Linked DNA regions of Arabidopsis thaliana. The protein of the gene in region 1 purifies or fractionates together with the protein of each later gene. This does not show direct contact. Each region holds a gene or a part of one and is shown on either strand. Other genes may lie near its edges.

Region 1 (6,694 bases):
GATCTTCTTAACCCCCACACGATCTCTAAAACCAATGGCTAATAATCTCCACTAATATCATCAACCCACTACCAAAAAAGCAACCGTTTCCCTCTTTCCCCAATAACCACGACTCCACACACTTAAAAACACACACACACACTAAAAACGTTACGAAACATAATTATCAAATTCAAACAACAACAAAAAAACACTCTCTCCCTCTCCGTATCTATTTAAAATCCGATCAGGTTAATCGAGTTTATCATTTGGAGAAAGCAAATTTCCAAAAATGTTTCGAGTTAGCAATTTCATGGTTGGTCTAGCAAACACATTGGTGATGTTAGTGGGCGCTTCGGCCATTGGTTATTCGATTTACATGTTCGTTCACCAAGGCGTCACTGATTGTGAATCTGCCATTCGGATACCACTTCTCACGACCGGACTCATCCTCTTCTTGGTGTCTTTGCTCGGAGTGATTGGATCTTGTTTCAAGGAGAATTTGGCAATGGTTTCCTACTTGATCATATTGTTTGGGGGCATTGTTGCATTGATGATTTTCTCCATATTTCTCTTCTTTGTGACCAACAAAGGAGCCGGTCGTGTGGTGTCCGGTCGAGGGTATAAAGAGTACCGGACGGTGGATTTCTCGACGTGGCTTAATGGGTTCGTTGGTGGGAAGAGATGGGTTGGGATAAGGTCTTGTTTGGCTGAGGCTAACGTTTGTGATGATTTGAGTGATGGTCGTGTTAGTCAGATCGCTGATGCGTTTTATCACAAGAACTTGTCTCCCATCCAGGTATTGTTTTGGATCGATTTTCTGTATGAACATATTTCTTTGTTGATATTTTTGTATAAATATAGTAAAGGGAAGACCAATCAAAGCTTTTGCTTTCTTTAGTATATATATATGTAAAGACAAATCAATAAAAAATAGTCTAGGTTCATTTCATCGTTCTTAGTATGATTAAATTTCATTGTTAAGTTTTTGCATATAGTAACAAAAGCAAGACAATTTTTAGCCGAACTAAGATAACACTTATATGTTAAGCCGTTAAATTTATTGTTCATAATGGGTTGTGTAACTCAAGTATTGATTGTGTATGAGCAGTCAGGTTGTTGTAAGCCACCATCGGATTGCAACTTCGAGTTCAGAAACGCGACGTTCTGGATACCGCCGAGCAAAAACGAAACGGCAGTTGCGGAAAACGGGGACTGTGGTACGTGGAGCAACGTGCAAACAGAGTTATGTTTCAACTGCAACGCATGCAAAGCGGGTGTGTTAGCGAACATAAGAGAGAAGTGGAGGAATCTTCTTGTTTTCAACATTTGTCTCCTCATTCTCCTCATAACCGTCTATTCCTGCGGTTGCTGTGCTCGTCGTAACAATCGGACGGCTAGGAAAAGTGATTCTGTCTGATCAACAACTCAATTTCAGTTTCTTGTGTTTTTCTGTTTTCTTAGTTTGTTTGGTTTTTTAAGTTAATTATCTTTTGTTTTCTTTGGACAATGTCATGTTCTGTTTCTCAACAATTATCATGAATTTATCACATTTCACTAGTCGTAACCATTGGCATTTAATTTTATTTTAAATCTTATGCTTCACATATTTAGTCACAATTCTAATTATCTTTATGTTTCTTAGGACAATGTCATGTTTTTGTTTCACCACAATCAATATGATTTTCTTTACCAAAAAGGCAAAAAGAATCATTATGAATTTTCACATTTCAATAGCAGTACCAATCTAACTCAAACAAAAAAAAAATATGTGGTCTTATCTATTTTTATCAGCAACCATTAACAAACCAACGAAAAAGAAAAGAACAAACAAAACATTAAAACATAGAAAAGATCCAGAATTCTAAATTCTACGTGCTCAAAAAGAAACAAAACTTCAATCTTAAATCTCCTTTCTGGCACACCCTTCATTGACAATCATAACCTCTTGTCTCATCAATCTCTCTCGTCGCCAACATTGATTAATCGATTTTTATTTGTGTTGCTAAAGAAAGAAAGAAAAAATGGAGGATCAGATAAGACAACTTAAAGACATTTTCGACCGGTTCGACATGGACGCAGACGGAAGCTTAACAATCTTAGAACTCGCGGCACTTCTCCGGTCACTCGGTCTCAAACCTTCCGGCGATCAAATCCATGTTTTGTTAGCTAGCATGGACTCAAACGGCAACGGTTTTGTCGAATTCGATGAGCTCGTTGGTACAATTCTTCCTGATCTTAACGAAGAGGTCCTAATCAATTCCGAGCAATTACTCGAGATTTTCAAATCGTTCGATAGAGACGGTAACGGGTTCATAAGTGCGGCTGAGCTTGCAGGAGCAATGGCCAAGATGGGTCAACCATTAACGTATAAAGAATTAACGGAGATGATCAAAGAAGCTGATACAAATGGTGATGGTGTTATAAGCTTTGGAGAGTTTGCTTCAATTATGGCAAAATCTGCTGTTGATTACTTTGGATTAAAAATTAATTCGTGATCATTTCTTATGCTTTTTCATTTATTCATTTTTATAGAAAATCGAATTCATAACACCAGGTCTTAAAGCTAGATTGCTCGAAAATTTGATATATAAAATCAGAGAAAATAGTCTTTAAGATCCAAGGACGATTAAAGATGAAAATACTCAGGGAAACAGATATTCTTAAAATTTGAGAAACAATACGAAATCTAGAAAACAAGCTCATGTGGTTTCATTCCTTGACTCAATGAGAACCTGGCTCCAAGGTAAACCTTGAGCTCTGGGACAGCTTCAATGGATTTGATCAGAGCAGCATCAACGGTTTTCTGGTCTTCCTTCTTCTCCTGTGGGATCTCCTTCTTCTCCTGTTCAACCCAAAGTTTTCAATTAGGTAATGGTACAAAGACAAGAAAACACATAATAACCATTTTTGGATAAAACCAAATATCCATAAGATGATTGTATACCTCTTTCTCAGCTTCGAAGAATTCGCCTTCTGTTTTCTTCTTCTTCTTCTCAGCAACCTTTCCAAAATACTTGTCATCGAATTTCTCAGTGTTGACTCCAGAAATGTCAATCTTTGTGGAGGTTCCAATCACATAGGCTTGGTTAACACGTCTCAATGGAACACCATTAATCTTGAATGGTCCTGAAATGACCAAATCAACAAAGACAAACATTAACATAGGTTCCAAATTGAACAATCAAACCAACACCATCGAGAGATAAGAGTTCACCTGTTACAAGAAGCAAACCAGAAGAAAGTTGCTTGAGGAAGACAACTCTCTTACCCTTGAATCTACCAGCAAGAATGATCAACACAGTTCCTGGAGTGATGCTGGCTCTGCAACACAGAGATAAACAAAACCATATTCATATCAAAAATGAAGCATAGCCATAATCTCTAGGAATCCTACATTTCTAAAAATCCTAACAATTTGTATGGTCTCTCTTATATCACCAGTAGATCCAAAACCATTCTAATACTAGATCTAGCGGAATCAAACTCAAATGAAAATTAAAAACCAATCGAAGAAGAAGATGGATAAATACTTTAGCTTGGTAGGCTTAGGCTTGCGTCTGTTAACAAGCGGCTTCTTGACGTCTTCCGCCGGATAAAACTTGGCAGGCTTCTCAACCGGAGCGTCGACCTTTGGCTGAGCATCGTGACGAGGGAAAACGCCACCGTTCTTGGCCTTGATAGCCCACAAACCTCTCTTGTGGTACATCTGAGACCTCGAATATTTTCCAACTCCCCTGATTAGGTCAGGGTTACGGTTAACCTTGGGAGTCCTCTTCGCCGCCGGCATTTTTTCGGCTTCGGTGGTGTAAAATCTATCAGAGACATAAACCCTAGATTGAGCTTTTATATAGCAGAAAGTAAAAACCTAATGGGCCCTTATGGTCTAGAATACTTTAATATGGGCTTCATATGGGGGTCTAGTGCAAAAGTGTGTTATTGCAAAATATTGGGCTTTAAATGAAGTATTTTTGTACTTACTATTTGGCAGGTAAGTAAAAGTGTTTTTTTGATAAAAATGATATCTATCCCGTTAAACAATTTTGTTCATAAAAATTTTGTTGGATAAGTTATATTTAATCCAATTCTTATACCGGATATTTCATATTTAACAATATACATAATTAGAACTTAGAAGATTTGATTAAAGTTTAAAATTATGACTTTTTTATCATATTTATTTAACTTTTTAAATTGATTTGAATCATCATATAATACATAAAATAAGAGTTACAATTATATCTTATACGTATTATATAGCTTTAAAAAAACACAATACACGACACCAAACATAAGCATAAGAAAAAGAATCATAAAGTATACACTAGATCATAATCTGTATTTGTTTAGCACGGAGAAAAATTTATTTTTTAAATATTTATTTAAAGTTGGATTATTGTCTGTTTTATAATACAATTTTAATCATTCTATACATAATACAAATATTCACTTGTTATAGGGATAGGGGTATGATTTTTTTGGTTTGGTTTGGTTTCAGTTAGGTTTAGTTTTGGTTTTATAAAAACTAAAACCATATAGAAACTATATGTAATTCGATTTGGTTACGATTGGTTTGTACAATTTTTTATTTTATATAAATTAAAACCATATAAAACCATATGTATCTCGACCCATGCTACAACATACAAAATTTTATATATTATATATTTTAAAATAAAATTTATATATTAATTTTGGGATTTTTCTGTTTTGCCGTCGGCATCTCTTAGTGGCGTAAACCCTAATTGACAGTCGAAAGCTTTTAAATATAAGGACGATACCGGCAAAAATAAAATCTAATGGGCCTTATATGGGTTTAATTCAACACTGCTACTCTAATGCTTCCAAAAGAAAACTCCATTCGATAAGGATTTGCTTCCCAGTTCAGGGAGAGGTGAATATTTTTCAAACTAACTCCAATAGTTTGGCATCTTCCTAGAGAGGAAACACCCCGCCTTAGCCACTAGAATATTTCCGACGTAGTTTGGTATCCGAAGTAAACTTTCCTCAACTCCATCCATTGTAGCTCTAAACACCCTAAATTGAGCTTTTAGATAGCAGAAAATAAAAAACCTAATGGGCCCTTATATGGTTTAGAAAACTTTAATATGGGGGTCTCGATATTTTTAGTACCAAAGTGTTTTTATTGCAAAACATTGGGCCTTACATGAAGTATTTTTGTACTTACTATTTGGCGGGTAAGTAAAAGTGTTTTCTTGATAAAAATGGTATCCATCCCGTTAAACAATTTTGTTCATAAAAATTTTGTTGGATAAGTTATATTTAATCCAACTCTTACACCGGATATTTCATATTTAACAATATACATAGTTAAAACTTAGAATATTTGATTAAAGTTTAAAATTATGACTTTTCTATCATATTTGTTTAACTTTTTAAATTGTTTTGAATCATCATATAATACATAAAGTAAGAGTTACAATTATATCTTATACGTATTATATAGCTTTAAAAAACACAATACACGACACCAAACGTAAGTATAAGAAAAAGAATCATAAAGTATACACTAGATCATAATCTGTTTTGGTTTAGCACGGAGAAAAATTAATTTTTAAATATTTATTTAAAGTTGGATTATTGTCTGTTTTATAATACAATTTTAATCATTCTATACATAATACAAATATTTACTTGTTATAGGGATAGGGGTACAATTTTTTTGGTTTGGTTTGGTTTCGGTTAGGTTTAGTTTTGGTTTTATAAAAACTAAAACCATATAGAAACTGTATGTAATTCGATTTGGTTACGATTGGTTTGTACAGTTTTTTTATTTTATATAAATTAAAACCATATAAAACCATATGTATCTCGACCCATGCTACAACATACAAAATTTTATATATTATATATTTTAAAATAAAGTTTCTATATTAATTTTGGGAGTTCTCTGTTTTGCCGCCAGCATCTCTTAGTGGCGTAAACCCTAATTGACAGTCGAAAGTTTTTAAATATAAGGACGATAGCGGCAAAAATAAAACCTAATGGGCCTTATATGGGTTTAATGCAACATCGCTACTCTAATGTTTCCAAAATGAAACTTTATTCGATAAGGAATTGCTTCCCAGTTTAGGGAGAGGTGAATAATTTTTCAAAATAACTCTAATAGTTTGGCATATTCCCAGAGAGGAAACACCCCGCCTTAGCCACTAGAATATTTCCGCGTAGTTTGGTATCCGAAATAAACTTTTCCTCAACTCAATCATGTTTTCAACTGTAGCTCTATCCTCACGGCAGAGATCTAACTCCAAATTATAAACCTTTAGCTTGTTTCTATTGTAAGATAGACGGGCTAGCTGAACAATCTTGGCTGCATGGTTCTCCGATGTGAATTGCACCTCTGCATAGCGTCCTTCCCTACCCTTAATGGTTTGATATGGGTTTCTAGTGGCATGCAAATAATTCTGTTAAAAACAAATAATTTTGTGTAATTTTTTATTTTGTTAACTATGCTTATTTTTAAAAAAAACATATTCATGTATTTTACTATCTTATATGATACACTAAATAAATCTACATATTAAGAAAATAAATTACAAGAGAACAATAAGACAAAATGGTTCATAGATATTTTTAGTGCATATCATCCTTGTTTAGAATATTTTAACATTTGTGACATAAAAGTATTTTTTTTAACATTTACGTTTAAAAAATAAAGACACTAACTTATAAATTTAAAAGAAGAAAAACAGTG
Region 2 (6,346 bases), about 23 Mb from region 1:
ATTTGAGTAACAGAGTTGGATAGAAATGCAGAGGAAGAACAGATTAAGGTAGCATACAGAAGATTAGCCAAATTCTATCATCCTGATGGTACTTTTCTGGATCTTTAGAGCACTTTGTCGTCACAAAGTTGTAACTCTGTTTCTGATTCTGTATTTTGTTTGTCTAGTTTATGATGGAAAGGGGACTCTTGAAGAAGGAGAGACAGCAGAAGCAAGATTCATTAAGATTCAGGCTGCATACGAGCTGCTCATGGACTCGGAAAAGAAAGTACAATATGATATGGATAACCGAGTTAATCCGATGAAGGTATGTATATATAAGAGTCATAAACTTGAAGTTTTCTTTTTTCCCTCTGAAATTGTTTTAAGGATGACATGTGTTGGGTTTGTGTAGGCATCTCAAGCTTGGATGGAATGGTTGATGAAAAAGCGTAAAGCTTTTGATCAAAGGGGCGACATGGCGGTTGCCGCTTGGGCTGAGCAACAACAGCTTGATATAAACCTGCGTGCTCGTCGTCTTTCTCGTTCTAAAGTAAGAAATAATGTGTCTTTTTGAGCTTGTTCTTCCAACTTAGTAACTTTCTTCTGCTCTGTTGTGAATCTTGAAACTTATTAAGGTGGATCCGGAAGAAGAAAGGAAGATATTGGAGAAGGAGAAGAAAGCATCGAGAGAGTTATTCAACAGCACTTTAAAGCGACACACGCTAGTGTTGAAGAAAAGAGATCTGATGCGAAAGAAAGCAGAGGAAGATAAGAAAAAGCTCATCACTCAGCTATTAGCAGCAGAAGGTCTCGAGCTTGATACCGAAGCAGAAGAGGAAGAAGCAGCAAAGTAAGATTCCAAACATTTTGGAAGCTTCTATAGCTACTTCAAGTAATTAAGCACATGGTACTTGCTCCCTCTCTGTCTCTCTTGTAGTATAAACATACATGTAGATAATCATATTTGACAATTTACAAGATCTTCACTGCACGGTTCATTATTAAAAATAAGACAAGTACCAATACATACATCCTGAGAAACAGAACAGAGAAACATCAATTGCAATGACCAAGAAGACCTAAGCAGAGCAAATCAGACGGAGCAACAATGAGTAGGGCATATACCCAAATCTTTAATATAATTATCATATTATAAACCTTAATTTGGGCAAATAGCCATTTCAGCCGGTAAATTACAACCACTTTCTTTCAGTTTCGGAGATTATAGGAACATGAAAATAAAAGAAACCACCAAAACTAAACAGAACGGTGATTGAGAAATCAGAACATTGATGATATTTTAGTGAATAGGTTAAACATGTTGAAGGCTTCAAACTTCAACGTAACTTGCCTTCCAAGAAAGAAAGTTGCCTCCATTCAAGATAGTGATGATCATCAACAATTCTTAACATCCGAATCCCGATCATCATCTTCATCAAGAGAGACGAGCTGGATCATGAGACGACCGTTGGATCTGTGAGCTCGAAAATACTCGTTGCGACACACTTTCTCTTCCTTGAGTAAAAGCCGACCATCACTCGTGTACTCTCGCTTCAGCACCGACGGCACGTGCGACGGCAACATTGGAGGTGACATTATCTCACGCGCCACTGTCTTTTTCTCCTCTCTTCTCTCACATGGCAACTTGACATCACCGGTCTTGTCGGAGAAAGCGTTGAAGCAGCTCTCTTTTCCAATGTAGCCTCCGTTGTAGGAGAGAGATGACATCACGATGGTCGAGTTTTCTTGGTAGTGAGAACTGAGAGCGATGTTACCAAATTTTGAAAGCTCTCTCTGTGTCTATAGATCGAGTTAGTGAGGTTGAGTTAAATAGGAGTTAGATTCATCCATTCTTTTACTTACATTTTGGAAGTTTTCTTTATGAGAAACTAAACGATGTATACAGAGAAAGAAATACGTAAAAAGAGGAAAGAAATACAGAAACACATGTGAATATCTATCCATTAGTTAAATGGATAAAATGACCAAAACAAGAATAACTTTGTTTCACCAAATGAATAACTATACACCTTGACAACAACAACTGAACAAAAACAATGGTTTATTTGTCTCCATTTTTGTCAGATGTGTATTTTGACACATGCCCCTTTTTTGGATGATCATATCCGTACTAATCAAATACTATAATAAAACCATGACACACATGTCTCTACTACGTTACTATCCAGATTCAAACTAACATGATTGTGACTACAATCAAACCAGTATTAGGTTTAGAAAAAGGAGTAATTTGTATTTGATCGTTTTCAGTAGTAAGCGACCTTCCTGTCAAACAAACTTATTGGCTTATTTTCAAGAACCATGATGAGAAAATGCGTAAACTTGTGTTGTAAGCTGCTTTTAAAGAAATTTCTTTTCCGGTCCTCAATATAAGAAAACTTGACAAAGAAGAAACACAATGTCTATTGCTCATAAAATTTTGAGAGACTCGAATACAAAGACGGGTAAAAAGTCTGGGAAAAATAAAATCTGAAAATTGTATCACTGGTCACCAGGAATTGACTTGATAATGTCAGAATCACCTGAAACAAGTCGAAAGACAAAATCATTAGTAGATCTATCAATGAAGAACCAGCAGCAATATATAAGCAAGTAGCTAGCTCTTTTACCAGGATCAACAATGCTCAGACAAGAAACACGGAAGTACTTTCCGCAAGCTGTTCCCAAATCAACGTTATCTGAAAGCCATTAACAAGGAGAGAAGAAAAACACAGTTAAGCCAAAGTGGTAGATACAAGAGGAATAACCGATGAATGAGCGTTGAAACATGAAACTATGTTCAATAGAATAAACATTCATCTACTTTCTTTGATGAAATCATCAAGATAATGTATTAAAACGCTCCTTCGAGTATTATCATCGAGCAAGATCAAGTTTTGTCTAAGAGTCAAAATCTAACAATGCGAAATCATAGACCAACAGAGCAATCTTTGGTATTATGAACCATGTCAATATTTGCAATAACCACATACAGAGACACCAACAGCAGTTCAAACCGATCGTGAACTTGCGAAAGATCAAGACTTCACGTCAATATACATTACAGTTTCTTCGACTTGAGATCATACTTCCATCATCAGTTTAATGGTCTATAGAAGCAGATTTTAACACTTTCATCTACTTAAGATTATACATTCTCAGTTATTATACACAATGAAAACCTTCACAAAAACAAGAGAACAATGAATCTTTAAAAACTGGACGAGCTAAAGAAGAAAGGAACTTACTTCCATTGTAATGGTGGACACCAACTTTAGCGAGCATTGCGTAGTACTCAATCTCTGATCTTCTCAACGGTGGGCAATTGGTGGAGATTAGAATCAGTTTCCCTGTGAACATAAGCAAAAACCAGAATCAATAACAAACTACAAAAAGCTAAAACATTTAGGTATGCAGACCAAGTGTTCGACGCAATTACCTTTGGAGCCACGGAGGGATTTGAGAACAGACTTGTAACCAAGAGTGTATTTACCACTCTTCATAACAAGAGCCAACCTACTGTTGATACCCTCATGAGACTTCTTCTGCAATTAAGCAATAAACCCAGAAACATATTAGTACATTGAGATCGTAAACGATATCTAGATGATGAGGAAAAGGGATAAAACTTTGATGGGAGAGAATAAGGCGCACCGTTTTCTTTTCCGTCACCATTTTCGCCGGCGATGGAGTGTAATCAAAATGTCTTGGATCTGTGCGGTGGAGGAGAAGAGGAGCACGATGACCAAACCGAAAAAGCGCCGCTTCGTCACCTTTTTATAGTCCGTGTCAATTTTCTAGGGTTTTTGCTCTTCAATTTATTGGAAATTTCAATTATGCCCTTAATGTTTCTATAGTTTTGTAATTTGTCAATTAAAAAAGTAATTACTCGATTTATTCGTTTCAGTGAATTGACAGTGATTAAATTAGCATAAACCACTTGTACATTCAACATTTTGTCGACATGAAACGTATTTGAATTACTTTTTAATTTACAAAATATGCAGAAATAAATTGGATAATTGGTAAACATATATTTTTTATATTTTTTTTTATACTTTTATTAGATTATTCAATGTTTCAAGTTTCAACAAGTTTTGTTTGTGGATGAAAAAAAATTCAAATTACTTTTCTATTTTCTTTCTATCGGATTCAACGTATAAGTTGAATTCTATAGAAATGGAACGAACTGATCAATCTCAGTTATGACTAGTGTGACAAAAGACAAAGTTTAACAATATTTATTTAATTAAGATAAATTGCTAATTTTAAGTGTTAGATTTTGGTAGACAAATATTAATAGATAAATTATAATTAATTATCTTGGAAATTAAGAAACAAGTAATCAAAAGTGGTTTAATTTTTATTATGATTTGAAGAATTAATAGAATAAGTCGAAAGATGTAAAAATATTTATATACACAGAGCAAACTTCACATTGAAGATCTCTCTCTTTTTTCCCCCTCTATGTTAATATCATTCCCCTTGTCGGCACGTAACAACAACGACCGAGACAACACAAACAAACAAATCCCCCACGTGTCGTAAACTGAGACCAGGTGGTCGTCATGTACAATATTTCTATAAAATATATGGTAACATCAAGAATTATTCCATAGAGCCCTAACCTAATTTGCTTCCTTTTGAAGCTCCTTCATCGAGAGGCACCTTCGTTATAAGCTTCAACTTCACTCGCTATATGTATACCCATCATGTCTCTCTTACACCATCTAATATCTCATACACACCATTATAATGTGTAATGGATTGTGCTTGTTTTGTTGGGTTACCAATAAATTCAAACACATGTACATGTTATTGACAAAAAGAGAAAACACATAAGGTTTGAGTCTTTAATTTCACAGAAGAGAAAACACACAGTGTATATACAATGTACAAATCACACTAGCTAGAACAAGCTATATATAAAAATTAGAGGCAGACTAGGAAATATATATGTGTTTGATGTATTTACTATATATATTATCCATACGCATACGCACCCACGTATATATGAGCCTTTAGGCAAGTGCCAAGAAACCTATAATGTTAAATATGAACATTGAATAAAATACATCTTTTTTTTGGGTTAAAGTTTTAAGTAACAACACTTGGTTATATAATAAGAGTAAACTACATTTTTACAAATATTATATAAAATGAGTATAAATGTAAGGGATGTACCTAGCCATATGGCAGATTCGTCTAAATTAAGATCAAAAATTCTATCCGCTCACCATTTGTAACTCTCTCTCTCTCTCTCTCTCTCTCTCTCTCTCTCTCTCTTAACACAAACCTAAAAACTCTCCTTTCGTCGACTCATTTACTTAAATATACAATTTTGCATTCGATCAATTTCTCTCGTGCCAACTAATAATAGATTGTGTTTTGATTATTTTGCAGTGACCATCGGATATGGGTCGGGTTAAATTGGAGTTAAAGCGTATAGAGAAGAGCACGAACCGACAAATTACGTTCTCAAAACGTAAAAAAGGTTTAATAAAAAAGGCTTATGAATTGTCAACACTTTGTGACATCGATCTTGCCCTCCTCATGTTCTCTCCCTCTGATCGACTATGTCTCTTTTCCGGTCAAACAAGGTATGTCCATTTCTTCTTCTAGAACGTTCCATGCTCTTCTAGAATCTTCTCCTTAGGCTTTTTCATCTTAATTAAAGTGTAACCATGTTTTGCATATACATGTACTGTCCATATCATTTGATTAAAAGACAAAACGGACAAGCCATATATTCTTTTTATCAAAAAAAAAATTGTTGGTGGAAGCCACCGAATAGTGGATCTGTATTTTTTGTACTACGTAGTAATTTTGATTTTTTCCCCCACTGCTTTGTTATTCAGTATTAGAGGTGCAACTGAGGGTTGACACGTTTTTACATATTACTGAAGATTTTAGTATATAAAAGTTGCAGAACATTTCAAAAATAGTAAGAGTTTCAGGATTTCTTATGTAAATAGAAAAAATCGCTGCTGCGCTTTTCTATAAATAACAACAGAGTTCGGGGTTATTTAGTAAATAGTAAAGGTATCGGATGTTTTCGGTAAATAGAGAAAGTTCCGAAATACTTTGTAAATAGCCCCGGAACTTAAAAAATAAAGAAACAGTCCGCAAACAATCTTTAATTTTTGTTGTCAATTTGTTACAAAATAAACAAAAAAAAATCATTAGAAAACACCACAAAATCAAGTGTTATATTAGCTTTCCAGTCGATTTAACATATAAAATTTCCACTTGTTAAACATTTTGAAGGATTTTTTGATAAATTTTCACCATTTGCTATTACAATAGTATATTATTTGTTATTCCGACATGGCCATGCTCTGCTCTCTAGTCGATCAAGTTCGTA
Region 3 (7,320 bases), on another chromosome or scaffold:
TTATAATGAGCAAGTGCGTTTGTTTTAGATCGAGAGACACATTTCTACGTTGCTTCATCGGATTCGTTTAAATAAAATAAAGTTGTGTAATAGTATTTCTTTACTTTATATAATTGTATCAATGGGAAAACAAAAGGTGTTTTAGTTATATTCTTGTTTGTGTATAAACTCATGATTATGGTTATGAAAATTGAAATCATAAAAATAAAAGAAAGTAGGAGGGAGATAGAGTCAACAAAGGTTGAGCTATCAAAAACAGGTTTCCTCGGAATGAAGCATGTCTCCGGCCGCATTATCCGACCATTTATCCATTATCCATTCCTTTTCAAATCAAAAACCAAATATAATAAATAAATGATTAACAATAATTAATTTGGGTGTTAAGGAAAAAAGGGCTTGTACTCCAGAACCAGAAGGTACATGCCCAAACCAAAATCTCAGTTTAATTTTTATGTGAAGCCTTAAAGATTTTGGTTGAGCCTCACTAAAACATTATTTAATTGTTTAAACTCAATCGAAAATACAATATACTAGAAGACGACTTTAACAGACAACGATACCTGAACAATCAATTACAGTGGTATTTTTTTTATTTCCTTGGTAATTGTATTGATTTTCAGTATATCCTGTTTTTTAGTTATAGTTTAACTTGTAAGATACTAAGATGGCATGATTCGGATAAAGTTTGGTATGGGAACACATCACTCTGCCTAAATTCCTCAATAAATGCCGGAATGAGAAAGATAATATCAAATTATGCATGTGGATGAGATCAAACTCTAATAAACTTATAAAATTCTTTGATGGGACATTCTTTCGACGGTAACCATATTTCGTCAATCCATGTGATCTCTCCATACACATAATAAGTTTAAAACTGTGAAAAATCTCGTACTAGAGAACAATGACGTTTGTGGCTATATATCCGCTATTTTTAAAAAGTCGTAACAACTTTGATGTATATCCGTTTGGGAACATGGAAACATCTTCCATTTCTTCTCCTATGTCGGACTCTTTTTTTGACTTTTACGTGTGCACGAAAATGGATACAACTTGGAATAATACTTATGTCATCGCAAAAACGTATCGTAGAGGAAAGTCCTTATCCACTAAAAGCCCCGATATTCATTTTTTTTCTTCTAAAATATACAAAAGCTAACTTAATTGACGTTAATCAAGCAACACATTCCTCATTCTTTTTTCTTTTAAATTCTGATTATTATAATAGACACGACATATTCAACCTTTAACTCCGCAATTCCCACACGCTTATGTTTCTTCGTCTCATGGGAATGCCTCGAATGAGTCTGATCCATTTTCTTATAGACTTTACTTGTTTTTTTCTGACAATTATCAACAAAAGCATGTTTGTGCTTCTACCAGAGAACAAGGCATGCTTAACCCCTTTATTTCTTCTTTAAACAGTTTATAAATTAACGTAACACTTGATTTAAATTATAATCTGATTTTATTATGAGGATAGGCTATGCAATTTTCTAAAAGAGTTTTTAATAATTTGATGATATTTTGTGATATGTATCTAAGGAAAGTTTGTAGTATAATTCAGATAGTATATAATATGATATAAATAGATAATAAAATAATATAATTCAGAAAGTTTGTTATAGGTGAGGTTTGGCACTTCAAAATCAAACCATCATTTGGACTAAGCAAGGCTGCAACCTTTTAAAGATAGATCTACACACCAACCAACATAGTTGCTATGCGCGACGAAAGAAAGAAGATAAGTGAAGGAATGAAACATATATTCTATGAAGTAAAATCTGAAATATTATGTAAAGTAGACTGTGCTTTTGGTTATATAGCTGAAACTAACCAAACTTGTTATATGTTGGATATGTTCCTGTCATAGTTGCTGGAGTATTGTCTGTTTGAGCTATTGAAACCTTTACTGAAGAAGATGAAATATACTCATTTGCGTAGTTACTGACAGAATCAGACAATGACATTGTTAACCAATATAATTGGGTTCAGAAAATTCCTCAACGGAGAGAAATTAAAACCAGAAAGGTAGTTTTGATGAAGAAACAAAATATCCATAAACGTAACAAAGAAATTCTGAACGTGAAAGTTTTAAAGGTCCATAAAATAAATAGGAAAGGCTGGCAAAAGATAAGACGGTGTATTTTAACCGAACAGATCAAATCCCATGTCCCCATCAGACTCTTCTGCAGCTTCTTCCTCAACAGCTACTGCCACCACTGCTCCACCAGACTCTCCTGAAACCGGTGCAGCCACTGCAACTGCAAACTTGGTTGGATCCTGATCCATAAATGTACAGTTAACAAACAATTTCATGACTACTAATCCCAATATCTGAAACGCAAAATGAAAGAGGACAAACCTTTAGGAACTCCTTCACATTCTCAGCCTGAGGGAAAGAGTACTCAGTAGCTAAGGCAACAGCAAGAACGTTCTTGTAAGCATTGAGGAACATGTGAGGCGCAGCTGCTACGGTTGGGTAAGAGATTGCAAGAGAAAGCGCAGTGATCATCGAGACACCAGCTGCAAACTTCTCAACAAGGTCGTCTTCAGTGAGGTTAAGCACTTCAGGGTTAAACACTGACCCATTATCGTAGACTGACTCAACAACGAGACCATACGAAAAGGGCCTGATTCCAAGCTTGGCAAGAAGCGCAGCCTCGGATGAACCGACTTTGTCGCCTTTCTTGATGAGCTCCACAGGGGTTATGATCTCAACCGTACCTTTGTTGATTTTGGTTGGAATGTTAAGCACCTGGAAGAAGGAGGTCTGTGAAGGGTCAAGACCAGTGTTGCCTGGTTGCACGACCACATCAATTGGAGCGACTAAACCTACACGAGCAGGAGCTCCAACCTGTCAAAAAAAGGACAATGAATTTCTCATCAATTAACAGTACAAGACTAAGTTGAAAAAATCAATCAATCCAACAACATGAAAGGACGCTACAAAAATGTGAGCCTAGGAAACTAGTAGACTCTCAAGTAAGTTTCTTGAATGTGGTTGCGTTTCAAGACAGAAAATAGAGGTTTTGAGTTCCAATTTAAACCAAAATGCAAACTTTATCACCTATCCACCTTACAAGTTAATAACCTAAAGCCATAGGTTAAAGGATGATCATAAACTGACTAAATCATCAAGTAACAGTAGAAGCTAAAAATAAACCAATCAATCAAAACACAAAACAGAAACTACAAATGTCGTCTCCTCAAACCTCAATGAACCAAAATAACTAGTACTATAATCTAATCAACCCTATTTGCTTGGAAAGTGAAAGTTTGCATTTGTGTTTAAAATCGAATAATACAACACCTTGCATTCTTGCTTACTTAGAGATAATCAGATACAGCATAAAACTAACCAAACTAAGTAATAAACCAATCAATGAAAATGTAATCTCCTCAAAGCTCAACGAATCATAATAATCTCAATTAGAATGTGGCTGCATTTTAAGCAAGAACACATATGATTTCATTTCAAACTCAAAAATACAAACTTTCACTTTCCAAGCTATCAATCCATATTTGAACTCTACTAAAGCTTAACAACAACAATAACATCAATTGAGCCAAAGAAACAAACCTTGTACTTAGCAACCTCTTCACTGACTTCCTTCAAGTCACCCTTAGTGAAGATCAACCCAACATTCCCCTGTTAAATAGATTCTAACACCAAACCAAATCAAATTCTCCACAAAACCAAAAAATCAATACTTTATATCCAAATGAAAACAAACTATTCAAGACAAGAGAAATGAAACCTGAAGAAGAGGAAGGAGACTGAGGAAAGCTTGATTGCCAGTTTTATCAGCATGAATCCTCACAGATCTCTTCATCATTGTGTTCTTCCCCATCAAAACAACTGAATCACCTCGTAAACCTTTCCTTATGTTCTGAAGCTGAGTTGATCCAACATTGTCAGCTGCAACGACAAGAATCTGAGAGTACTCATTCAAAAGCTGACAAAGCTTTGAATCGTAAACGATCTTCTTCTCCGCCTTTGTTGCTTTCACCGCCATTTCCACTTAAAAATGATAAAGTGAGACTAAAGAAACTAAATTTTGGGGTAGAGAAAATGGAGGGCCTAGACGAAGCTTGGAGCTCGTACAAGGTGGACAGCGCGAATTGGCGCTGTCTCTTTAACCTCTGTAACTGTTTTTAACAGAGGAAGGAAGAGAGAAAGAAAAAAAGCTGCGTAAGAATTTGCTTAAGGTTGAAGAAGAAGTTTCTTGGGTTTATATAGTTATCGGAAGACGGAAGGATGAACGGTCAGGGTTTGTGGGATGACCTAAATCTAACGGCTTATATTATTTGTAGTAGTATCAATGGGATGGGCCAATATTGCCCAACATGTTTAACATTATGAATCTTTTTCCTATTGGGCTAAAAGCTCTTTCGACCCACATCTCAAGCCCAACTGAGATCCATTCATTGTAATTCATACTTTATTATTTTTTATAGTAACCAATAAGAAAATGGTTGACTTAACAGAGAAAATGGTTGACCCAAACAAATACTATATTATTTTTTTAATTCGATTTCATTCAAAGAAGCATTTTTGGGAGACGAGGAGGCGATCCACGGCTTATTCTTAAGAAACCTTCCACAGTCGCCGCCGATTTTATCTTCTCCGCCGTAAGTACTCTCTTTCCCTATCGAATCTGAACGAAACAGCTCAGCACATTGTCATCTCTGTAGCAAAATTAAGTTCGTGTTTTTGTGTTTTGTTGTGATTCTGTTTAGGTTTCATTTGGGTTTGAATTTTAGGGTATTTTTGGTTTATCTCTAGTGTTACTGATTCGGGATTTTTGGGAAAGAGCTCAACTTTTGTTTTGTTTCATCTTTCGTTGATTTTGTTGTTACATAGGTTTGAAAAAAGGGATCACTTGTTTGGTTGCCTTTGTTTGTTTGTTTGATTATAACCCAAAGACTTATACTTTTGGTCCTCCAATTTCTTCTGAAACTACAGGGAATTGTGAGGGATCAACAAATGGCTCCCAGAGGAAGAAGAAAGGTATAAGCTGTACTGTTTTTTTTGTTTTGTTTTTCCAAATTAAAATGCTGGCTAACAAGTAAAGATATGAGCTTTTGAATCATATAGTTTTTAGAGAGTATAGTGGAAAACTAAGATAAAAGCATAGACATAGACATTAGAGTAGAATGACTATATAGATGAAGTATTTGAATGACATGATTGTTGAAGTTAACATTTTGTTTCTCTCTACGACTTCTGTGTACTCAACGTTGAGAACACTGATGAGATAAGTTTACAAATACTTCTTTTTATGATGGGTGTTCTTGTTTTTTTCCTTCTATGATTATCTCTCTTTTCTATGCTTTTAAATTGCTACTTTTCTTTTGCTTTTTTGCAGAAGGCTGGATTGATGCGAGAGGATGCAGCACGAGATCGCATGAGAGGATTTGGGTTTCATGAGCATGTTATCAGTGAGAGTATTAAGGAACTGTTAGAGGTTTGTTCGCTAGTTTTAGGGTCTCCATTTTTCCGTTGTTGATAACATTTTCCTTGCAACTTGAAAATAACGTTTTACCCACTTTGGATTTCAGGTCTACGAAGACCAATGGTTTTTGATTGAAGATGATAGCTATGGTCCCCTCCTTGCTATCTGCCTTGAAAAGCAAGAGGAAAAAGAGAAACAATTGGCTGAAGTACAAGCCAACCAATTGCCTGAGAATCACAATGAAGAGATGGCTGAGGAAGAACAACCCAATCAATTGGCTGTGGAAATACACGAAGAAGAGAAGGTGATTTGTTTTTCTTCCTTCTCGTTCTCTTTCTGTGCAGGTTCACAAATCTGTTGCTTCCATTGTTGGGATTCGTTTTGCTGGCATTATTAGAAACCATTGACAGAATTCTTGAACTTGGTTTACCCAAATGGTATGTAACTTGCAGCATGATCCATCTTTTGTAATACAGGAGCAGGAGCAGGACATGCATATTGAGTATGGAAGAGACCAAGCTGATGAGTTATCAATCAATAGCGAAGCAGTCAATGACCCATCACCAGCAGCTATTCATTTGGGAGAAGCATCATCAGATTATGCACAAAGTTCTGTTCGAGGTAATAAAAGCTTTTTTACTCATATCCATACCAATCTCAACATAAGAAATGAAACATTCTTTTACTGCGGTCAAAATAATTGATTAGGTGTGGAGAATCTTCATTGTGGATGGCTAATTGATGAGGAGGAGACGGATCCTGAGGAGGAAACGGATCCAGAGGAGAAGGAGACCGAGCCAGAGGATCCAAAGGAGAAGGAGACGGAGCCAGAGGAGGATAGTGATGGTGATGATGATGAGATCATTCAGCTTACTCCAGAACCTCTTTGTGAAGAACTTCAAGAGCTTCTCAGGGAAGTACGTGGACAGAAGAGGAGGAAGAAAGAGATGAGGTGGGACAAGTAAAGGAGCTATGGAGCTCCTGTAAGTAGCAAATTGATATATATGTTAGGAAGCCAAATAGTAGTAGTAAGCTATAGTATTGTGGTGAAAAAAGGTAAAACGACCCATCTTAACATCTCTTGAGATATTGGTTTTTAATAATTTGTGATGGAGTAGAGAAAGCAGATAGTCTTTATCAGTAGTTGTATGAGTCATACAATAGTACCCGAACCCACTTATCCAAAGATCAATGTCGAAAGTGGAAACCAAATCCCTCTAAAGTAAATTGAATAGCCAGTCTAAAAGTTAGACCAAATCTGAAAGTCGGTTTAATTGCAATTATACCTTCTAAATGCAAGAACCAATATCAACCGGTACTTCATATTCTTTTGATTTTTGATTTGTACATATAAACTTTTTTTTGTACATATAAACTTAAATGCAAGTATAGCTTGACTTGTATTTTACACATCAGCGGAAAAGTTTGAGAGAGGAAGCATATTGTATTTCGTTTGGTTACAACTTTTGCTAACTTTTACAATAAATGGAATGAAATTTTTTTCCACTTAATTCCTCCTGAATAGAAAGAAATTGATGCAATTTTGTTCCCTTTTTAAATCCATGAGCCAATAAGTGCATCTCCAATTATATTCCAAATTTCACTCTAAATACTAATTTAGAAAAAATCCTTTTAATACCACTATATTCTCAACTCTAAAAGGGAGTGATGAATATGGTATGATATCATCTGTCACTTCATTTTGGAGTTACCCTTTACTTTTTATTTACAAAATATTTTCCTAAATTTATACTCATGTTCTTCATTTATGTGTAAACAAAATTATATAAATGAAGAAAAAGAGTTATTGTTAACCTTCTCCATGTTTTCATTATAAATTGATATGAGCATTGGTTACCGT
Region 4 (9,450 bases), on another chromosome or scaffold:
CAAATTAGGGTTTAAGCATTTAGTGAGTTTCCAGTAAACCCTTCTCTGAATCGCTGCCGCTTCTTCGATAGACTAAAAGAATCCAAACCTCAGTAGCCATGGAAGGCGAAGAGAAGAATGATTATAGAAACGAGGAAGAAGATTTCAATACACCACAACAACTACAAAAGAAGCAAAGGAAAGGGAAAAAAATAGCAACGGAAACAGAGGATGAAAACGAAGAAGACAAGAGAGTTACTCTCAAAGTCACGCAAGTCGCCGAGAGACCCGATAGAATCTCTCCGATCGTCGCCTATTTCTCTACAGGATACGATCCTTGTAAAGTAGATCCAAAAACAGGCAAGAGAGTTCATGAAACTCCCAAGGTTACTGTTTACAAGCATAAGGATGATTCTAAGAAGAGGATTCAGGTTGTTGTAAGTCCTCCAGGCGCAAGAGTTGAGTTCGTCGGAACTAATTACACAGGCGAGCAAGCTGCTATGCAGACGAATACTTATAGAGTTGGTGTTTTTAATAGAGAGGCTAAAACTTTGAGGATTCTTCCTGTTGCTCACAATAAGGTTTAAATTCTGTTACCTTGTTTTGATTTTGGTGATTAATTGGTTTGAATTAGTTGGAATGTTTTGAGTGTATGGTTGTGAATAGAAAAGAAATGATTTTTGAGAGTTTGAGTTTGGTTTTGTGTTACTTGTAGATAATCAGATTGGAGCCTAGAGTTAAAGCTCAAGAAACAAATGAGGAAGAAGCTTCAGGAAGTGCTGTCGTCAAAGAACTTGAAGAACTAAAAACAGGAGAACGCGATCGTTATAATACAAAAAAAGCTGTTACTCGGGTATGTTACTACAGCATCTGAAAACACCAATTCTACTGTTTCCTACAGTATCTGTCTTATTGGTATCCAGACTAGTAGAGAACTGATTGTCGTGAGATTCGTTGGGAGGATTATATGTCTGAGTGAGAATGTGTGTCTCTATGCAGGATAAGAAGAAGCGTGCCTTATATATGGGAGATGATGCTGCGACTCAGAAGGTCCTTGATGGGAAACTAAGTGAGTTAGGTGTTAACACAGCTGCTCTTGAAGGCACCAGTTCTACTGTTGCACGCAACATTCCTCCTTACAATACCGCTGCAACGACTGCAAATGAAGCTTATCCCTTAGAAAAGATCATTGAAAAGGGGGATTGGAGTTTTCTTGAAGATATTTACTGGCTTCTGCAACAGGAAACTGAAGCAGCAACTGAGGCTTACCCTGTATTTGTCCGCAACAGATTGTACAGATTGCGAGATATCAAGGTAAAATTATGACTATTTTCTTGGATGCAAAATATTTTATGTTAGCTTGCACCACTTTCGCGGTTTGCTCTGATTAAATGGATTCTGAACTTCTCATGGTTTTATCTACTGCTCAGAAGATTCTTTATGTATGTATGTCATTTTGTTACATATGCAGGACGATATGAAAAAGCAGACGGTTTGTGGTGCTGCAACGCTTCTCACCCATCTGGTTAAGTTCAAGGACAGAAACTCAATGAATGGTTACGATTCCGCTAAAGACCACAAGATGCCAGACATCTTCCGTCAAAAATTCAACAGCATGTTCAAGGATTCTGAATCAGATAGGATACCTGTTGACAAGATCAACCTTCTGATAAGCTACGTTCTTGTGCTATCCCTTCACGTGGATAATTTCATGACCGATCCAGAAGACATAGCAAAAGATCTGAGGATAAGCACAGTTGAGCTGAGGAAACATTTTCTACAGCTTGGCTGCAAATTCCTGAAGCAGAATTCTACTACGGTTGCTACCTTACCGACCCCTCTCAATTTCCCGGAGGTTAACCGGAGGCGCAGGGCACGAAAGTGATGACGATCTAGGAGAAGATTTTGTTCTATCTTTACATATTTTCTGCTATTTTAATGATATTTCTTTGACGGTCTGTTGAGATATTATAAATTGTTTTAGTTCCTAAGACATCTGTTTCTTGGGTTTAATGATATATGATGTTTTGGCATTTAAGCAAGCAAACTGCTCTAAGTCCATGATAGTGAACTAAGTGACATTTTATTAGAAGAAAGAGATATTTATTGGAGTTGATTAATAAAATTAAGTAAATGGGTTTTATTTTGCCAACCCATGATGAACAAGCATTAAGCCAAAAAACAAGTGCACAGTGAAATTGTTGGATTCCTGATTTTATTTTGAGACAAAAATCTGTCAACTCAATGATTTAAAGAATAGCAAAACACTCAACTTTAAAGGCCATTGCCTACTGCTGATCAAATCTGGTAGAATATGTTGTGGGAAAGAAATTTGAGGTCAGAAGACTCTTATGAGTTTAGCTTTTGATGTGTGTGTGCGTCTGAATTTTAGAGCAACATAGATTCTGGGGTCTCGATGTAGCCCTTGAATGCTTTCAGCCACTCGGCTCCAATTGCACCTGCACAGGAAGATGACTTATTAGACGTTTTCGATGAGGTGATGATTAATAATGACAATAGGAATGAGAGGCGGATTCTGTACCATCTATTACGCGGTGGTCACAGCTTAGTGTTACAGACATGTATGAAGCAACGTTGTATTGGTCTGGACCAGTACCGGGAACAACTCTCTTTTCAGCTGTTTTGAGATTCAGACACCAACACTATAATAAGTTACGCGGAAGAAACTTCAACGGATAAAGTGGATGAGTATGCTAAGGACTTACCAGATCCGATTGCTAGAATGGCTGCTTGAGGTGGATTGATGACGGCACAGAACTGTTTGATGCCAAAAGGTCCCCCCAGGTTGGAGACTGTGAATGTTCCTCCCTGTCAGAAGAAACAGTTTGAGCTGATTTGCTTTCACAGCAGTATTATGCTAGTGAGATTGACCGAATTCTAAACCAACCTCATAATCTTCCGGCTTCAAGCTGTTTTCTTTTGCTTTTTGAGCCAAGAATCGAACCTCTTCTCCAATTGTAGACAGTCCTTTCTTGTCCGCGTCCTGAAATCAAGCAATTAGATGAACTGAGTTTTTCAGAAATCTCAAGTTTCTGCAGAGGAAGGTTAATAACTGTATCAAGAGCTCCCTAACCTTGACCACAGGAACGTAGAGCCCATTTTCTGTTTGTACAGCGACATTGATGTTCACATTTTTAAATCTGTACATAAAAGGAGGAAAATAAGAACCAAGAAACTAGATGATTTGCAAAGTTTTCATGAACCTCTGAAACAGAATATGTACTTACTGGCGGATGTATTCATCTGTCCATGAACTATTGCACTGAGGAACTTTTCGAAGAGCCAGTGCAGCAGCCTGCAATTTCGAAAAAGAAAAGGTTTCATAATGGAGAACAAAATGAGATTTAATTAGACTTGCAAGAAAAGAAGTAAGATGCACCTTAATAACAAGATCATTTACAGATATCCTTTTCCCACCGGAAGCCTCTTGAAATGAATTGAGTTGACTCCTAAGACTGCATATAAAAATAGCTATGTTTAGCATCCACTTACCTAATCAAAATATATGATCTAAAACTTAATACTTACCCCATCATTTTGTCAACACATGTATCCACGGTCAAGTAGTAGTGAGGAATAGTTTGCTTTGAGAATGCCAAACGTGAGGCTGTGACCTGTCAAATTTATACAATTAACAAAACTTCGGAATTCTTGGCTTATAGTACAAAACAGAGAGATATATGGTCGAGGTAATCTAGAAATACCACAAGCAATCAAGATATAAGGTTGTATAGGTATTTGCCTTTCGTATCTGAGTGTGAGGGATGTCAACATAGTCAAGAGCTGGAACCTTTGAATCCACTTGCTTGGAAGGTTTGGCAGTAGTTTCTTTACTGCCTGAAGCTGTACCATAGGAAGATGTATTAGAAATTTAGAACATAGGGATGAGGTAAATTCTGTAACGAGAGGGGAAAATGTAAGAAGAGGGAAGAGCCAAGGATTTCTGATACCTAAGAAATCTTCGACATCAGCCTTCACTATCCGTCCTTCAGGACCTGTGCCTTTAATGCTTGAGAGAGGTACCTAATGTTTTTCAAAGGAAAAGTAGGAAAAACAAATTAGAGATGGAGATCTAACACGAGCTTAACTAATATTTTTCGTCTGGAAACTGACATTATTATCTTCAGCCAACTTTCTTGCAAGAGGACTGGCAAAAATACGATCTTCTGAAGGAGCTGAGCTTGGCTTAGAGATCTTGGCTTCAGGAGCACTGGCTGGCTTCTCTACCTTCTCTTCCTTTGGTAGGGAAGGAGCTGGTTTTGCTTCAGGCGCAGCGGGACCAGTATCGGATGAGGGTGTGTAATCTTTAAACTTTTGAATATCATCTTCATCTTCAACTGTGATAGCAATCACCTAGTTGGACAAAAAAAAAAGGGACCATTTATATGTGATTCTACAAATGAAGATAAAGATCTTTGTCATTTTTATTGAATATTCATTGATCTTCAACTAAAGGGAGCATAGGGCTCACAATCAAATACTTCATGAGAACCCATTATAATTAACAAGTCTCCAAAAGTCAGAAACTCTCATACCTCCCCAACTTGAATTTCTTTTGCCCCCTCCTCCTTTACTATCTTGGCGAGAAAACCCTCTTCCATGCATTCCATTTCGACTGTTGCTTTGTCCTAAAATATTAAGATTGAGATAAGTGTTTTATTCCTGGCATAAGAATCAATACAGGAAGAGATTCAATCAGGATTATCATTACAGTTTCAACTTCACAAAGCACTTCACCAGGAGCAACTTTATCACCTTCTTTCTTCAGCCACCTGGCAATGTTACCCTGAAGTTTCAACAGATATCTTTAGTAGAATGATAAAACAATAAACCATGTTAATTTTCGTAAGAGGTATTCAGAGGTACATGCCTCAGTCATTGTTGGCGAAAGAGAAGGCATTCCAATCTCTTGATGAGGAGGAAGATCTGAAACATATTTTAAAAAGTTATCAGTAAAACAAACCATGTATGCTGCATATACACAGTGACAGAAATATGATGGCCGCAAAAGGCACAAAAACCAAGTCAGATGCTCACAAAAAAAAGTACAATTCAAGTGAAAATATATGTTAGAACAAGCGGGAAGTTACAATAAAGAACTAAATACCTGAACTGGATGAAAATCCTCTCACTGATCGCATCTGGGAGCTAAAAGCAAGAAAAGAAGCTTACAGTTAGGATAGAAGTATTCATACAGGAAGGTAGCAAGTTGTATTCTCATCGGTAAATGGATTACATACCTTATAAATTCTTTAAATAGTTTTGGTCCTGCCATTGGGCTGCTTAGTTTTGTGCTCGTTGTTGAAATACCACTAAGCATTGTTACCTATATAATGCAGCTAATGACATTACGACCAAAAAAACACAGACGATTACGTGACAAAGCAAAGACGAGAAAGGAAACTGAACAGCAGGGACTTACATTGCCAGTACCACATTTTGAAATTCTCTCTACAGAGGAATAATTCAGGCGGGCCTTGAAGATATCTGAAGACCAAATAAAAATAGAAAAATAAATGCTTAAGCGAGAAGCATAATATATACTCAAAACATACCAACTTTCAATTAATTAAAGTTGGAACGTTGTTATGTTCTTCATGTTGAAAACGATGTGAAAGTCAAACTTGGACTATTCATCCCAGAGTACTGTGTGGTGCTTGTTACCGTATCAAATAAAAGAAACCACCACACATTTCTACATAAAATGAACTTAAGGATAGCAATGAAGAGGACACTAAGAAAGCTGACTGGATTACCTTCTCTTCCAACGAGAGAGGGGTGGGTACTGTTGGAGAAACAGCGGACTGCCACAGCATGGTCACGCCGCAGTAAAGCGGAAACATGTTTCAACTGGTCAGATAACACAACAATCGTCAAAATAGTGTTTACAAAGAGCAACATACAATTACTCTGCTGTAAAAGTAGAGTCTTCTTGTACTAATAAAATGAATAGCTAATACCACAATTGAATCATAAAGCGAAGCTACTACATTAATCACAATTCAGATTACAAGGAGGTTACTAAAGCTCTCAATAGCAAAATGCAGAATTGCCCATGATCAAATTAAAAATACCAAATTCATGATTAGATTAAGTCAAACCCGGAAAACGAACCTCAGTTCAGAAAAAAATGATTGGCAGAGCAAAACACATAAGAACGAATGCATAAACTCAGTTTTACAAGATCAAAAATGGTAGTCAAACCACAGAAAAAAATGAAAAATAGAGAAAGAGAAACCTTTTTGGAATGATTGATGATACGAGAAGCCATTGTTGTGCAATCGGAGCTGCGTCAGCCGATCCGAATTCGCAACTGCAAATAACAAAAAAAATGGTGGGAATGTTTGTTAGGGGGTTTCTCCTTTTTCCCTCGGCAACTATATCAGAGATCGAGATCGATGAATTTGACTTGTACTCAATCCAATTTTGAAACAGTAAATATGTGGATGGAAGATAGGATTCGATCTAGAACTCACCAAGAGTCAGAAGAACGGTAAATCGCAGTATAGAGAGTGAAGGATCACTTGGAAGAAAGCTGGGATTTGATGATGATGATGAAGATAGTTTTGTGTTTAGGTTTTTCAGAAATGGCAAAATGCTGCCTTACATGTACCAGATTGTATCGTACCAACACCAATTCTACCATAACCGATATAAAAGTATTTAAACCGACTAATTAAGCTTCACAAATTTCGGTTTGTACTTTATTATATTGGGCCCTATTATTATTCTCTGAGCTTTTGCGTCTCACCAAAAGACAGAGATCATCAGGTGCGTTAGTGATTACGTAGGCATCTAATGAACGGCAGGGATTAGTCAAACTTATTAATGGGCCTAATCTTTGGCCCATCGTTTTCCCTCGATTCCTGTCACACAAAAAACTCCTAGCTCTTCCTCTACCTACACAAGCTAAATACATATTTTTTGCTTATCCTAAGCATCATGATTATGTTTTGCCCTCTCCAGCTTTTTCTTCAATGGCAACAGATTCTAAGAAAGTCTCTTGAGGCTAAAATCAAAGCATTTTTTGTTGAAGATAGATAGCAACTTGCTGCTTCTTCATACTAGCTAGTTACCTTCTTCTTACTCAATGTGTTTTGCTTCGTTTCAAGGATTCTTCATATCACTTGTGGAACAATTACATGATTAAACATTCAACATAGAGAGATAGATGTGTTAATAAGTAAAGACATTTTCAGATAAAACGTTCTTATCAGTCACTTTATTCTTCTAATATCCTCGTTGTAATCGGGAAAATGCTTTGTAACGTCAAAAAGCAATAAAAGTTGCAGGAGAAAGAAAGCTTTGGAAAAGAAAATAAAATAAATGAAGAATATTTTCTTTGCTAGTCACAAAATAAATGAAGAATTTATGTTCCTAATTTCCCACTAGATATTTGTTTATTTATTTTTGCCAAAATCAAGTTAAGACAATGAGCTAAGTGTTGGAAAACCTTGTCCGAGCCAAAAGAGTAAAAAGAAAGGGAATAAAGGGGTAAAACCGGAAATCCGAAAAAGAAAAGGAGAAGATTTCCAAAGGAGAAAACCCTAAAGACGGAGTATATAAACAAGGTAACGCGTTTTCTCTCAGCCTCTTTCGGATATTCCACCAGTCTCTCGCAATCTTCGCTCTTCTCTTTGCTCTCTCTCTCTCAACGCGGTTCAGATCCGAGTTTGGGAGATTCAAGCTCCCTGAAAAAAGCCCTTTACTCTCGCTTACCAACTTTGCTCCAGGTTCGCATCCTATCGGATTGTCTATCTATTATCTCGATGTAACTTTTACGATTCATGATTGTTTCTTTACTTTTGGATTGTTCTGATTTGTTTTTTTGTGTTTTCCGATAGATTTGGTTTCAACTTTGTTGAGTTGATTTGGAAGTTTTGATTTTTCGTTACTTCAAGATCGTTTTTTTTGCTGTGGAAGTGCTTTCGTTTTTGTTCTCTTTATTAGATTCTGAGCTGCTGATGATGACGATTATTAAATTTAGGATCTACACATCTGTAGATTTGTTGATGGGTTTGTAGATTTTGTTACGGCTAGGTTAGTCTCTCAATAGAATGAAATGAATCGTCTTCAAAGCTCAGATGTTCTTGTCTTAACACTCACTTGGTTTTGTCTGATTGAATGTTTTTTTTTGTAATTTGGAGAAATAGGTTGAGTGGTGTCTATGTTTAATAGATAACCATATGTGCCTTTATACATTTTCTCCGCACATCATCTGAGGCAGATATTAATGCTTGTTTTCCTCTCTTTATGGACTTCGAGTTTGGCTTTCTTGTCACATTTCCTCCTTTGCAATCATATTATTAACGATATCAAAATAGGTGTTGTCTCTCTTCCTTTTGATATGAAATCTGATTGTTTTTGTTCTTTTTATGTAGCATGGCAGGATCTGCACCAGAAGGCACACAGTTTGATGCACGTCAGTTTGACCAGAAACTCAATGAAGTGTGAGTCTTTTTACTTCTGTTTTTTCATTCTTGAGTGTGTTCTCTCCGCATGCTCTAGCTGCTAATTGTACTGTATTGATACAGACTTGAGGGACAAGATGAGTTCTTCACATCCTATGATGATGTTCATGAGAGCTTTGATGCCATGGGTCTTCAAGAGAACCTTCTCAGGGGTATTTATGCTTATGGTATGTGTGTAGGAACTTGAAAAAGCTATCTTTTGTGATTTATGTCTTAGATTAGAACATTATCTCATGCGTGCTTCTGTTTTTTCTTAGGTTTTGAGAAGCCTTCTGCTATTCAGCAAAGAGGAATCGTCCCCTTCTGTAAGGGTCTTGATGTGATTCAACAGGCTCAGTCTGGTACTGGGAAAACAGCAACTTTCTGCTCTGGTGTCTTGCAGCAGCTGGACTTCTCCCTTATCCAGTGTCAGGCTTTGGTTCTAGCTCCAACTAGAGAGCTTGCTCAGCAAATTGAGAAGGTCATGAGGGCCCTTGGTGATTACCTTGGTGTCAAGGTTCACGCCTGTGTTGGTGGAACCAGTGTCCGTGAGGATCAGCGCATCCTCCAAGCTGGTGTCCATGTTGTTGTTGGAACTCCAGGGCGTGTCTTTGACATGTTGAAGAGGCAGTCTCTTCGTGCTGACAACATCAAGATGTTTGTTCTCGATGAAGCTGATGAAATGCTCTCCCGTGGTTTCAAGGACCAGGTATGCAAATATTTCTCAGTGTTTCAATTCCATTCTCGTTATAGTTTAACTTGAATCTCACTGGTTTCTGGGTTTTTTCAGATCTATGACATATTCCAGCTTCTTCCACCAAAGATCCAAGTTGGTGTGTTCTCCGCAACAATGCCACCAGAAGCTCTTGAGATCACAAGGAAGTTCATGAGCAAGCCAGTGAGAATCTTGGTGAAGCGTGATGAGCTTACCCTTGAAGGTATCAAGCAGTTCTACGTCAACGTTGAGAAAGAAGAGTGGAAGCTCGAGACACTCTGTGAT

The links.
Region 2: the proteins of AT1G18540 (region 1) and AT1G77940 fractionate together in Arabidopsis thaliana (co-fractionation; one large-scale study listed by BioGRID). This does not show direct contact.
Region 3: the proteins of AT1G18540 (region 1) and AT2G40010 fractionate together in Arabidopsis thaliana (co-fractionation; one large-scale study listed by BioGRID). This does not show direct contact.
Region 4: the proteins of AT1G18540 (region 1) and AT3G13930 fractionate together in Arabidopsis thaliana (co-fractionation; one large-scale study listed by BioGRID). This does not show direct contact.

Annotation. Positions count from the first base shown.
Region 1 is NC_003070.9:6,374,780-6,381,473, forward strand, and holds AT1G18540 (Ribosomal protein L6 family protein), read right to left. Parts: upstream 3,802-6,694; 5' UTR 3,770-3,801; coding exon 3,513-3,769; intron 3,304-3,512; coding exon 3,197-3,303; intron 3,109-3,196; coding exon 2,927-3,108; intron 2,825-2,926; coding exon 2,669-2,824; 3' UTR 2,478-2,668; coding exon of another isoform or gene 2,004-2,477; 3' UTR 1,860-2,003; downstream 1-1,859. Other genes in the region: TET11 (tetraspanin11), read left to right, coding at 272-778, 1,091-1,399; AT1G18530 (EF hand calcium-binding protein family), read left to right, coding at 2,004-2,477.
Region 2 is NC_003070.9:29,301,632-29,307,977, forward strand, and holds AT1G77940 (Ribosomal protein L7Ae/L30e/S12e/Gadd45 family protein), read right to left. Parts: upstream 3,781-6,346; 5' UTR 3,658-3,780; coding exon 3,637-3,657; intron 3,528-3,636; coding exon 3,422-3,527; intron 3,333-3,421; coding exon 3,231-3,332; intron 2,682-3,230; coding exon 2,613-2,681; intron 2,526-2,612; coding exon 2,485-2,525; 3' UTR 2,233-2,484; downstream 1-2,232. Other genes in the region: AT1G77930 (Chaperone DnaJ-domain superfamily protein), read left to right, coding at 14-88, 168-307, 395-532, 618-836; AT1G77932 (FANTASTIC four protein, putative (DUF3049)), read right to left, coding at 1,378-1,710; AGL67 (AGAMOUS-like 67), read left to right, coding at 5,398-5,582.
Region 3 is NC_003071.7:16,706,430-16,713,749, forward strand, and holds AT2G40010 (Ribosomal protein L10 family protein), read right to left. Parts: upstream 4,344-7,320; 5' UTR 4,020-4,343; coding exon 3,762-4,019; intron 3,653-3,761; coding exon 3,584-3,652; intron 3,135-3,583; exon of another isoform or gene 2,858-3,134; coding exon 2,366-2,857; exon of another isoform or gene 2,284-2,365; coding exon 2,149-2,283; 3' UTR 1,950-2,148; downstream 1-1,949. Other genes in the region: AT2G40020 (Nucleolar histone methyltransferase-related protein), read left to right, coding at 5,334-5,471, 5,566-5,763, 5,936-6,080, 6,168-6,424. UniProt on the Arabidopsis thaliana protein: Ribosomal protein P0 is the functional equivalent of E.coli protein L10.
Region 4 is NC_003074.8:4,593,061-4,602,510, reverse strand, and holds AT3G13930 (Dihydrolipoamide acetyltransferase, long form protein), read right to left. Parts: upstream 6,745-9,450; 5' UTR 6,477-6,744; intron 6,314-6,476; 5' UTR 6,272-6,313; coding exon 6,239-6,271; intron 5,851-6,238; coding exon 5,757-5,850; intron 5,488-5,756; coding exon 5,423-5,487; intron 5,327-5,422; coding exon 5,241-5,326; intron 5,149-5,240; coding exon 5,108-5,148; intron 4,927-5,107; coding exon 4,871-4,926; intron 4,787-4,870; coding exon 4,712-4,786; intron 4,629-4,711; coding exon 4,536-4,628; intron 4,354-4,535; coding exon 4,114-4,353; intron 4,024-4,113; coding exon 3,951-4,023; intron 3,844-3,950; coding exon 3,743-3,843; intron 3,615-3,742; coding exon 3,529-3,614; intron 3,456-3,528; coding exon 3,380-3,455; intron 3,296-3,379; coding exon 3,228-3,295; intron 3,141-3,227; coding exon 3,074-3,140; intron 2,984-3,073; coding exon 2,888-2,983; intron 2,809-2,887; coding exon 2,706-2,808; intron 2,618-2,705; coding exon 2,522-2,617; intron 2,439-2,521; and 3 more. Other genes in the region: AT3G13940 (DNA binding / DNA-directed RNA polymerase), read left to right, coding at 99-560, 695-832, 979-1,293, 1,451-1,864; EIF4A1 (eukaryotic translation initiation factor 4A1), read left to right, coding at 8,254-8,264, 8,382-8,450, 8,535-8,638, 8,729-9,159, 9,241-9,450. UniProt on the Arabidopsis thaliana protein: The pyruvate dehydrogenase complex catalyzes the overall conversion of pyruvate to acetyl-CoA and CO(2).